Linked DNA regions of Daphnia pulex. The protein of the gene in region 3 purifies or fractionates together with the protein of the main gene of each other region. This does not show direct contact. Links are inferred from orthologs where the notes say so. Each region holds a gene or a part of one and is shown on either strand. Other genes may lie near its edges.

What was found.
Region 1: the proteins of THO complex subunit 4-like (region 3) and complement component 1 Q subcomponent-binding protein, mitochondrial-like purify together in Homo sapiens (affinity purification with mass spectrometry; 3 studies listed by BioGRID and IntAct, with this or other methods). This does not show direct contact. The link is inferred for Daphnia pulex from reciprocal best matches to the Homo sapiens genes ALYREF and C1QBP.
Region 2: the proteins of THO complex subunit 4-like (region 3) and regulator of nonsense transcripts 1-like purify together in Homo sapiens (co-immunoprecipitation; 3 studies listed by BioGRID and IntAct, with this or other methods). This does not show direct contact. The link is inferred for Daphnia pulex from reciprocal best matches to the Homo sapiens genes ALYREF and UPF1.

What each region holds. Positions count from the first base shown.
Region 1 is NC_060026.1:13,819,526-13,823,764, forward strand, and holds complement component 1 Q subcomponent-binding protein, mitochondrial-like, read left to right. Parts: upstream 1-1,417; 5' UTR 1,418-1,477; coding exon of another isoform or gene 1,478-1,725; 5' UTR 1,726-1,799; coding exon of another isoform or gene 1,800-1,946; 5' UTR 1,947-2,003; coding exon of another isoform or gene 2,004-2,241; 5' UTR 2,242-2,563; coding exon 2,564-2,780; intron 2,781-2,842; coding exon 2,843-2,993; intron 2,994-3,058; coding exon 3,059-3,258; intron 3,259-3,315; coding exon 3,316-3,404; intron 3,405-3,467; coding exon 3,468-3,617; 3' UTR 3,618-3,676; downstream 3,677-4,239. Other genes in the region: uncharacterized protein LOC124203752, read right to left, coding at 1-446, 512-1,417, 1,478-1,725, 1,800-1,946, 2,004-2,241.
Region 2 is NC_060017.1:7,855,816-7,860,064, forward strand, and holds the start of regulator of nonsense transcripts 1-like, read right to left. Parts: upstream 2,802-4,249; 5' UTR 2,623-2,801; coding exon 2,437-2,622; intron 2,377-2,436; coding exon 2,125-2,376; intron 2,062-2,124; coding exon 1,889-2,061; intron 1,825-1,888; coding exon 1,439-1,824; intron 1,381-1,438; coding exon 1,276-1,380; intron 1,214-1,275; coding exon 1,111-1,213; intron 1,051-1,110; coding exon 891-1,050; intron 819-890; coding exon 535-818; intron 476-534; coding exon 217-475; intron 155-216; coding exon 1-154. Other genes in the region: uncharacterized protein LOC124197441, read right to left, coding at 3,809-3,933, 4,007-4,249. UniProt on the Homo sapiens protein: RNA-dependent helicase required for nonsense-mediated decay (NMD) of aberrant mRNAs containing premature stop codons and modulates the expression level of normal mRNAs.
Region 3 is NC_060025.1:2,695,790-2,699,180, forward strand, and holds THO complex subunit 4-like, read right to left. Parts: upstream 2,016-3,391; 5' UTR 1,808-2,015; coding exon 1,622-1,807; intron 1,461-1,621; coding exon 1,305-1,460; intron 1,246-1,304; coding exon 1,132-1,245; intron 1,068-1,131; coding exon 762-1,067; 3' UTR 529-761; downstream 1-528. Other genes in the region: uncharacterized protein LOC124203100, read left to right, coding at 1-148, 215-384; ribonuclease Z, mitochondrial-like, read left to right, coding at 2,293-2,573, 2,629-2,815, 2,884-3,109, 3,171-3,391. UniProt on the Homo sapiens protein: Functions as an mRNA export adapter; component of the transcription/export (TREX) complex which is thought to couple mRNA transcription, processing and nuclear export, and specifically associates with spliced mRNA and not with unspliced pre-mRNA.

The DNA.
Region 1 (4,239 bases), on a different chromosome or scaffold from region 3:
TCTTGCAATTGTGCTGCCAGATTACTTATGTACTCCTTTGCCTCGCAAAGCTCTTTCTTCAGATTATCTATATCGCTGTTACAAGCCTTCAATGCAACTGATTTTTGTTCTAGTTGGTATCTCAAAGAGGTTACTTCCTCAACGGAGTTGCGACAATTGCAAGTTGGGCGTAAATTGTTTGGGGCAGCAACATCGGGGAGAATATAGTCACAGTCGTCCTTAGTTAGGTCTACAACTTCGTGGTTTGCACTATCGCGAGTGACTCGAGCAGTTGAAGCTTGGGCTTGGGCTTGAGCAGCTGGTTTTCCCGAATCCAAAATGTTCTTCTGGTGATGATTAATTAGATTCAGCAATAAAGAACTCAGATTAGTGTCCTGAGCGGTGGGGTTCTTTTTAAGCATCAGGTCTCGGATGTAAGTATCGATGTTGTGCAGATTTTGAGATATCTAAAGAAAAACCAAATCGTTAAAAATCGCAAAGAAATACTGAGGCAACTACAGTAATAAATTACTAGTCCATTTTGAGGAGCTGGCGATGATGGTTCCATCATTTCCATTCGAGATACGACCTCCGTATTTTTTGGCAATACAGGACAGGAAGGGTTTGCAGATTTTGTTTGTGCTGCAACAGTTGGTGAAGTTTTAGCAGGTTCACCTTTTTTCAGAATCAAAGTCTTGGCAGCAGGTTGTAGCATTTTTAATGGTTCAGCTACGTTGGTTTTGAGGGCTGGATCTGTTGAAGAAAAAGCTTTACACTTAATAGTCGGAGTCGAGTTTCCCGCGAGTTTTGGTTGTTGCTGGAGTGTCGTGGAAGAAGGAGGAGCTTGGATTTGCTGTACAATCTTTCCAACATTCTTTTGTACGATGTGAGGCGGAGTATTTAATGATGACTTTAGCGTTATCACGGTTCTCGAAGTTTTATCAAATGCATCTTTTCTCACAATCAAAATCTTGGAGGGAAGTTTCACGGTGTTTTTCAATGGTTCAGTTACTCTTTTAGGAGCATTGCTATCTCTGCTTTTTGGCGCAATTTTGACAGGCGTCGATTTTCTTCCTGAACCTTGACCGATTTGACTTAACGATAAAAGCTGCAGAAATTCGTTCTTTGAAACAGATGGTGCCAAAGGGGTAACTTTATCCGTAGACGCAACAACCAAATTTGCCTCGACGTGTTGTTGTTGAGCGGATGGTCCGGAAATTATCAGATGACCGTTGGATACTGTTGGTGAAATGCTTGATACAGGCGGTAGAGTATTCGACATATCTTTAACTTCGGTTGTGATGGAGTCATTTCCTGATGTGTTGAACTGTTTACTAATTTCACTTATTCGCGTAAACGACGTGTCGAAATGATCCTCAGCAGAGGGTAGTTGCATATCGATTGATTCAATTTGATTTGCATTTGGTTCAGGCAGCACCTGATTTTTAAACATTGTTATTATTTGGTGAAGTTCTAGGTAACAAAAAATTGTCTATACCTTGTTTTTTTTATTATTCTTTCTTAATAAAAGAGCTGCTTCTCTCTCTGCTATTTTAATTTTTGCTTCTCTTTTTGCCTTTTTTATGGCAAGTCTCTTTTTCTTCCATTTCTTTTCTCGAATTTTTACCTCGATGTCTTTGGCTTTTTTCTCTGCTTTCGTGGCTTTTTCAATAGCCTTCTCTTTTTTCTTTTTAAGTATTGGTAGACGACGACTACGCCTCTGACTCAATAATCTTTTTTTTTTAACTATACATGAATTTACAACATTGTAGTCAAAGCAAAGGTTGAAAAAGGTGATAATGACTTAGACACTATCGTACCTGAAACAGTTGTCTTCCATTGGTAAGCAGTTGGTGGCACTGTTGACTGACAGTAACTGTGCTCTTCTGTGGGGGGTGGAACAGGTATGATTTTTGGAATCGGAATGTTTAAACTTGGCACCCAATCCACACCTACATCAGGTTTACCTATATAGATATTGAAATATGATCAAATTATTTTCACACATATTCTATCTAACATACCTGATACAAAATGTTTTGAGCAAACTAAAATTGGTTCTCTTTCCGTATCAGCTTCAGTAAGACCCAATGCTTTCAACCACAAAGAACGTCTCTTTTGGATTAATTGTTTTGTCAATTCACACATAGGCCCAGCTTTTACCTTTGGGATACTTGGCATACTAAAGTATTTTTCATTTCCGTTACCCGATGTAACAGATGTGCAATATGGACTCAGAAAACATCTGTTACGAGGTCCCATCTTAAAGACGATTGAATATTAACTAAATATTCCTTTTATTGTTTTCACAGTTTCGGAGGGAGTTTGAGTTCAGTTTAAGTTGTAAACAAAAACCCACAACAATTAATCGATAGTGGAAAAAACTCGATAATCGATATATTTCCTCGTGGCTTCTGCTTTTGCCAGAAGATTCTTGTCTTAACTTGCAGTCTTGCTCTTGCACCACAGTCCCTTGCAGAATTATTATTTAATTCGCTGATAAAGTTCATCTTCGTTCGCTCTATTCATTCTTTAAAATCTCAATTTGTAAGACTCTGTTAAAGTTCAAAATCTCATTCCCATAATGTCATTTTCGGTGATAAATGTCGTTCGAAACGTTTCACGCCATGCGTTACCGGCGTCCATGAGGTCTATCCTGTCGAAACCCATTACCAGGTCTTTGTGGTACATGTCTAATCCCACAAATCAATTTGTCCCAACAAAACTTTCTCCAGCATTCAAACATACTCCCCTGAGCCCTTCCTGCCCATGTGGAGAATGCAGAGGAGTTCATACAAGAGGTAATACATTTTAACCATTTCACGTCACATTTAAATACAGCATAATATATGTTGCATCATAGGGGACAAAGAGCTGATTGAGTTCCTCTCAGAGGAAATTGCTGCTGAGAAGAAGGGAATGAGCAAAGCCAGGCCTGTCGCTAACTTGGATGGATTTGATGTTAAACACAATGGTTCAGAGATAGTATTGTCTAAGAAATTTAATGATGAACAGTGAGTAAATCTTTATGGGACAATTCTAAATTGAAACTTGTGGCTTAATTTTATTCATTAAACAGAATTGAGATAACAGTTAACGTCAACCATTCTGTTGATGCTGACATCAGTGAGGAAGTTGACAACAAAGCTGACAATCCTCCCCAGGCTGAAATGAAATCAAAACCACACTTTGAAGTCAAACTAATGAAGGGAAATCAAGTAACCAGATTTGCCTGCAGTTACATTCAAGATGCAGGAGAGCCTGTTGAAGATGCCCCAAGTAAGTGTTAATTGTATTTGAATAGCCAACAATATAAATAACACTCGATTTTTTCAGATGACATTTTCACTATTGATGAACTTGCAGTATATGAGGACAAACATAATGATCAGACTTATGCTGTCGCTGGAGACATTCTTGATGGGGTATATTTTAAAGTCAACAATATTTTAACCAAATTAAACTGATATTTCACATTTTCGTTATAGTACATGTACGACCTTCTGATGAATCTGCTCGAAGAACGAGGAGTATCCAACGAATTTGCTGAAAAGCTGAGCGATCTAGCTACCAAGCGGGAACACCATCTATTTATTAATTTGTTAGAGAGCCTTCAGTCTTTTGTCCAAGGCAAATGAAAGGTTTAGAATAGTTTTGAGATGAAAAATAAAAAGCTATGTAGTCATTTTGTTTAAAATGCTGATTTATTATTTATGGTTTTCCAAAACAATGGTTATTTAGAACCATCAGGGGTCTTAAATTCATTTTCAGTCCCCATTACTTCTTTTTCTATTTCTTTAAGGTCAATATTCTGTTCCTGGATTGCTTTCTAAAACAGAAAAGAGTAGATAAACATCTATAAAAGACAGAAATGTTGGACCAAAATTAACTTACCCTAACACATTCACGATACACCTTAAAGAAAGGACCACATGAGTCTGTTGAATGATCCCCTCTTAAGAATTTTTCTGTGAACCATGTGTTGAAACATGCATCATAATTTTGCTTCAATTGGCTACAGGCTTCACTTACACTATTCATGGTACAAATTTAACCTAGAAAAATAAAAATACAATAATCAATTAACATACTTTAAGAGCTTTGTGTGTCCCACACTTGTACCTTTGAACTGTAGATGAAGATTGGGCAGGATAAGCAGAGATCATTAACAAATTAGAGCACTTTTCTTGATTGAAAATTTATTCAACACGGTTGTAATTTCAATTAAAACCGGTCCTCAAAACATATTATGTACTAGGT
Region 2 (4,249 bases), on a different chromosome or scaffold from region 3:
ACCTTGGGTGCATACGGTACTGTACTTCCAAACGGAAGGGCCGGATGCCAAGTACTACCAGTCTTTCAAACAGTGATTGCGAGAGACCAGCTTTGGCAGCTGGTTTACACATCACCACTGGGCCCAACTGACAATGATCTCCAACCAGAATGAGCTAAACACCCAAAACATTGAATTAATAAAAATCTAAAACACATAATACCAAGGGATTCTTACCTGTCTTGCTCCTAGGACGACAGGGACCATGCATTCAGGTTCAGTAGCTTGCATTGATTCATCGATCAAGATAGATGCAAACTTAATGCGAGCCAAGCGAACATCACCAGCACCAACACAAGTGCACGCTAATACATCTGCTGCTTCGAGTAGCTCTCGTTCTGCTTGTCGCTTTAACATGCGGTATCGCTTTTCATCTCCCTGTGAAAGCTCACCGACTTCCTCCTTAAGCTGGACCAGCTTTCGCAACTCTGAAGCTCTATAATAGAAGTTAACTTTAGCCCCACGATGACACATTTTCGCAAAGTAAATTCTTACCCTTCAAGACATCGAACTTGATTATGCAAGGCCAAGAACGAGACGGGTGAATCAATGGCCTCTCTGGATTTCGCGCACAAACGGACCACTTTCAGACCAGTTCGATGAATCTTTTCAGTCAATTGGTCAACAGCAATGTTGGACGGAGCGCAAACTAATACTGGCCCTGATCCTAGTTTAGCCAAATGGTACACGATGGTGGCCGATGTAACCGTTTTCCCGGTACCAGGAGGTCCTTGAATTAATGTCAATGGACGTTGAACTGCTTGTTTTACAGCAAAAACCTGTAAAGCGTAACATTATGAGATAAGCAATGAATGTTCTATGTTCTATCAAGTAACAACTAAATTTTATACCTGAGATCGATTCAGCTCAGGCAAGTCAGGAGCAGAGAAATGTTTAGGGAGATGTAGGCGGAATACGACATCTTCAACCTCGTGACCGAGCAAACGATGATAAATGTAAGCTGAAACGCTACTTTCGTCAACTGCAAATTTCCGCAGGGCCGATTGCATCCTGAAAGACATGTTTCTTAGTCACTAGATCTCTTTGAAATACGAGCTCATCGGATGTTACCTATCAAAAGACGTTGATTTCCAGACAAAATCCACGACGAAATTTGTGGAACATTCTGTAGGAGCTCCGTTTGAATTCTTTAATTCAATTCCGACTTCTTCGCCTAAAATATAGTTATTTATATATTATATTATCATTATTATTACTATTATATATTAGACTGACTGTAGTTGTCTGGAAGTTTAATCACGTGCCCCAAACCAGTCCACGGTTTGTGTAGTTCCCCAAGGTAACGCAATCTTAATTCGTCACCATGCATCAGTTTCATATCTGAATTAACGAAAAATATGAGAAGGGACACTAGTGAACTATAAATATTAGGCATTACCGCTATCTGTCTTTTGAAGACTAAAGTAAGCGACAGTCTTTTTATTAAGACCGACATCCCAGCGAACGTGAACGTTGTCTTGAGTTTGGGCTTCTTTAACTCGTCGGTCGTAGTCTGCTTCAAGTTTCACTAGCGGACCAAAAATATTCTGATATTGATAGCCATCCTCATATCGCAGCAATACGTGCTGAGGTTCTTCGTCAACGCCAGGACGTTCCAGGTCTTCAAAACTAGCCTCAGGTTTCTCTTTCCACATCTCTTCCAAACGGTTCAATTGCTGGGCCGTCAATTGACGAGCTCTCATCTGTTCGGCCTCTGAAGGGCTTCGAACAAGCCAACTGAGGAAACAACGATCAGCTATAAGTGGTTTCCATTGTTCAATGTCCCTATTAGCAAGAAGAAGTTAGTAGAAAACCACACATGACAAACAGCACAGTAAATTTAACTAACCAGTTCATGTCTTTCAATGATGACTGAGCTGCACAAGGTTGGCGACACAGCAGCACAACAACTGAATCTGCTTTAGCAGGAATGAACCCCAAAACAAAAACATTTCTGACTCCACAAGAATAGCACTCCAAAACTGTTTCACCCAACGGTCCATCACGATGCAATGTAACCTCCTGAAAAATTAAGAGTTTGATTATAAACAAGGATTAAGATTTATATTTTTAAAATATTTTTACCTTGTGTTTGGCTCGTACAAGATGATTAACAATGTGAGAGCCAGAAGTATTACCTTTGCCATTGCAAAACCATTTCTTGCAAATATTACACATTACAACACAACCAGGATCATGGATGCCGCAATACTTGCATGCATGTGGTGGCAAATCTTTGCTGTAATAGCCCTCTTCATCTTCTTCCTCAAACTGGAGATCGTTCAAATTTTTCATTGCAGTAGCAAGTTGAGAATCAATCGTGTCCAGCCCATTCGCCTGAAAATGACCACAAATTACAGAAATGTTTTCAAAGTTTCACCAGGCAGGATTTCTTACCTGATGTTTTCCCATTGATTTGTGAAGGCTGGCATGATCAATTTGTGAAGCCTGGGTTTGACTCGGCAAAGTAAAATCGCGAAAATCGAAATCAGTTCCCTGAGTGTCTGCCCCAAGTAAATCATTTTCCTCGGTGTCGAGAAACGTGAGCGTTTGCGAATTGGGCCCAAAAGTGTCCACACTCATTTTGCCAAATGGTATAGCAATTAATGACGTCAATTACAATCTCTTACGGAACGAAACTCGCATGTGTGTTTTCACGGCTGTGCGAGTTTTCCCTTTTCCTTTAGTGCGATCGAAGCGCCATCTCTCGGCTTGATGGTTGATGCAACCGCCCTCTTGCGCAATCTTTTGAAAAATGTAATGAAATACCAGTTGTGTTGCACATTAGATAGGCACAGTGGCACACAAACAAACACACTTAGATCTAAGCTAAATAACAACGCTTTATAGATAAAGATTTTCGGGATCGCCAGATTATGTGCTCCTATGGTACTTTTTGTGCCCAGTCACAAATTATTATTGTTCACATTCGTGATTTAAATATTGCTTGCAGGTTATAGTTACATTGTTATACAGAAAAGAATTAATGAAGTAGAAACAGGTCTTAAACCACGATTCAGATAATAATTGAGTCACAGAATTAGGAAGCCAGTGGTTTCAGAGAAAAAGACATTTCATTTCTCGTAGACATATAGGGCTGTTCGACATCTTTTTTAACATTTGTTGCCATCGTGGCAACGCAGCAACTCATGTATTTTTGTCTGCTACGAGTGACTTGTGTTTGTTCTGCGAAATATGAATTTTTTTGAAAAATAGTGATAGAAAAGGGGGTTGTTTTGAAGTTGTGATGTGTTTTATTTATATATTAGTTCGTTATAGTGTTAGTGTTTAACTATGTCACTGTCTAATTATGCCAGTGGACTTAGTATTGAGGCCAAAACACGTTATTTGGGAAAGTTATTTGTGCAGACAACAATTTCAAGAGAAAAACATTCCACGAATCGTGCATCAAGTCGCAAACTAATCCCCCAAAAAGAATAACAAAGCTTTGGAAGTATGACACTTGCAAGAAAGCTGCTCGTGCCGTAGCAGCCGCAGCGGCAAAAGCAAAGAAAAATAACTTACCGGTCGTTCCTAGTAACAGTCAAGTTCAGAGAACAGCACTTTCCAATATAACCTCAATCAGTAGGCCCTAGTGAGCGAAAAGATACAATTTGTGTACCTTCCTTTGTAAAAAAGAAAATCTCCATTTGTGAAAATGTTGTGTTTGATTAAATTATTACGAAGAAAATGGTAATATGTTTGTGCCCCTGTTAACCAAGGTTAATACATCAAGTATTTATTGAAAATTTTTGGTTTATTATGACAATTATTCACCTAAACACACTACAGTAAGGGTACAACAGATGAACACGAAAACTGAAGTTGTTAGTGATGAATCACCGGAAGTAAATTCGACGTCCCTGATGGATTGACTTGAATTATTTAATGCAGCTGAAAATTATAAGTAATGAACCAAAATATTACTTTCATTAATTACAAAATTACATTTTAAAACATTACTTACGCAATGCATCAAAGGTGGTTTCAACCGTTATGATAGTTTCATCATCGGCAGTTGAAGTCATGTCAAAAGTTTCCGTACTTGTTGTTACATCGTTCAAGGATGGGATTGGATGAGAATCACTTATTAGAAGTGTATCTTCAATTAATGCAACATCTTCATCGAAACTGTTTGAGGTATCTTCAGTTGCAGTTTCAACATCTATCAATGGAGGTGTATCAGCCTTGTCAAAAGCAACATTGTTAC
Region 3 (3,391 bases):
ACTCCAGGTAGTTCAGCACCAGTGGCCGCAGACCAGCACGAGTCCAATTTGTCCCAGGGTCAGACATCTAATGAAATTACAACAGTGGAAGAAGTCAACGCCGAAATGAACCTCATACTTCACCCCCGAGCCGGAATTCTACTCCACAGTAATACCTGATTAAATTAAATATAGTTATGAATTAATAGTAACAAAACATTTGTAACGAAAACAGGTTTCCAATTCTCTAAACCAACCAAGTTTAACAGCGAAGCCGCAGCCTTCGCTCAACCATCACGAATTCCTTACCGTGGAAGTTCAATTCCAATCATCGACAGCATCAACGAGGCTGCAGTAGCTCAGCAACTACGTCAAGCAATCCGCCGTACACTTCGCAGCTCATAATAAGCACTTCACAATCTTTATAAACATGACTTTGTTAAAAAAAAAATTTGTAGTTTTTCCAATACACTCAATTTGATACAATTGGACGTTACTAGATCTTTTGGCTTCTACACATCTCGGGAATCACAAATAAAAAAACAATGGTTTTTCGCTGAAAGCTTCATTTTTTTTTGTCTTAAAACCAGGTCTGACAGGTTTGTCTTTCAAAACACTGAATTTGTATGAAAAGAACGAAAGAAAAAACATTATTGAAAAAGTGGTGGTGGTGAGGAGAATAAGTAAAGGTGATCAGGAGTTTGCGTCAGTGATTCAACCTCTGATCCACCACGTGTGGACTCAAAGAAATCAAATAATTTGGTGAACATTACACGATTGCGTTATTTCAATTCACTCCTGTATGACTCCAACTCGGCATCAAGCTCATCTGCTGTCGGTGCAGGCTGTTTGGGATTGCGTTGGCGAGCACCACCAGCACCACCTCGCTGACCACGCTGGCCTCCTCCTCCTCCTCCTCTCTGGCCTCTGTTGGAAGCTGGTGCACCAGTCCTCTTTTGTTGCGGCCCGTTGTTAGTGTTAGCTCGAGGGCTGGTTAGTCGGTTGGCGATTGTGTTCAAATCGGAAGTAGCCATCTGAATGACCATTGATCGACCATCCAATGGGACTCCGTTGTACTGTTTCATTGCCTATGGAAAAGAAACAAATATTGATGCTGTGTGTCCTACAGTTGACAAGTTTCATGAAGTTTACCTTGACGGCATCAAGACGGCGCTCAAACACAACATCAGCTGTACCGAGAGATCTGCCTGATCTGTCATAATGCACAGAAGCATGTTTCAATGGTCCAAATTCCATAAAAAGTTCCTATAAATAGAATTATTCAATACATGTTCATCATGACAGAGAAGCAATATATGTTATACCTTAATGTCTGCATCTGACACACCAAAGTCTAAGTTAGAAACAACAAGCTTGGAAGAGCCGCCTCCAGCAGCATTCGGTGCAGCACCCAACCTGGGATTGCTTTTCCTTGGTCCACCTTCATACATGTCATGAGACCAGTCACCATCTGGGTTGCCCTAAAAATAACATACACAAAGAGTCAGCACTATTGCATCACGAAGACTGTAAGATACAGACTAGCTTGGATTTGAAATAGACGAACAAGTCAACCAAGGATTATGCAATACTTTCTGATAGAACATAAAAAAACAAGAAGAATAACTTAACAAATATTTACCTTGGCGTAAGGTGCAGCACGACCCCCAGCATTTCCCTGTCTTTGATTACGAACGGGTCCTGAGCCGGCATTACGGTTGCCTCCACGAGAACTGCCACCACGACCGCCGCGTCCTCCACGGCCCCGGCCGGCTGAACGGCTAGTTTTGATGATATCATCCAAGCTCATGTCAACTTTGTCGCCCATTTTGATAACAATAAGTTTGTGGAGGACTTGACAAAATTAAGGACTATCAATTTAAAAACGAAACACAAGTTTAAGAAAGATTCAATAAGAACGAAACAAATGGATGATGGTGACAGGGACGGTACGACAATGACGCCACGCTCAATCTCTATGCCAAGTTAACGAATATGAGCCTAAGCAAACTCTCAATGGCGCCCATATTGCCCGTTTGCCAGTTTCAAAAACAAGAAACATAAATAATTTAATACTCCTTTTATTCTAAGTGATTTATTTTTCAAATAATAAATTTAAATTTATTTGATTCAATTTTACAAATAAAAAACAGTTTAGTTTCAAATTAAGTTTTTAACCGACGTGGTTGCCAAGCCCGGTGTTTTGATTCTGCTTTTCAACCCTCTAGATGACAACACGTGTTTAAAGTTAAAAGTTAGTGCCTGTAAATTTTAATTAGGCCCCATAATATCCCGATTATCAAGAAATATCTAATGAATTTGCGATTTGCATTGTTAAATGTTGTAGTTGTTACTGTACGTAGTTTTCATTCTAATCAAAAGGTATTCGGCGATATAAAAAATAAAAATCGTGTGTTAAATTTACTCGCCAACATGCCGAAAGATACGAGTCATGTCGCACGTCTTCAATCAGAAAGACAGGCAAAGAAGATTACTAAAACAAAATACCCACCAGGAACCGTAACATTACAAGTTCTGGGTTCTGGTGTCCGTGGTGCACCACGGTCCCTCTATATGTTCACCGATCAATCATGGTAACATTTTAAATTAAAGCAAAAGTATTTTAGTCTAATTCCTGTTTGCTTTTAGTTATCTCTTCAATTCCGGAGAAGGATCTCAACGCTTGGCCCATGAGCACAAGTTTAAGCTGTCCAAAGTTGAGAACATTTTCTTCACCCGTACATCTTGGCAAAATGTGGGTGGATTACCTGGAATTTCATTAACAATTCAAGATGTTGGTGTTCCCAATATCACACTCCATGGACCACCTGGATTGGTAAACAAATAACATCTAAGCACACATTTTAATGCAGATCCAATAATATCATAATCTAATTTTAATAGGGTGAATTATTTACTGCTGCCTCCAGATTCATCATATTAAAGAATTTACAAGTCAATCATGTGGATGCTACTTCACCTGCATCATCTTATGAAGATGCTGCCATGAAATTAAATTATGTAACTATTATGCCCAATGATGATGCAAAATTACCACGTTCAGCTTCTAGTTCTCCTATCGAAGAGGAGGATGTGACCAATTATTATTGTCGAGAAAAAGGAAATCCTGGTGAGTTATCAGTGGTTACAAATTATTAGAATCGAAATGTAAACAAAATTAATTTTCTTAGAGGACGTTCCAGCTGCTAAAAGGACTCGTGTTGAAGATGAAAGTGACGAGAACCCGAAATCCAAAGCCGTTCTAGCTTATGTATGCCGTTTACAAGCGAAGCAGGGTACGCTTATTGCGAAAAAGTGCTTCGATTTGGGGGTCCCACCCGGACCACTCTACGGCCAATTGAAAGCTGGGCAAGATATCACGCTTCCCAATGGCAAGACTGTTTTAGCTTCT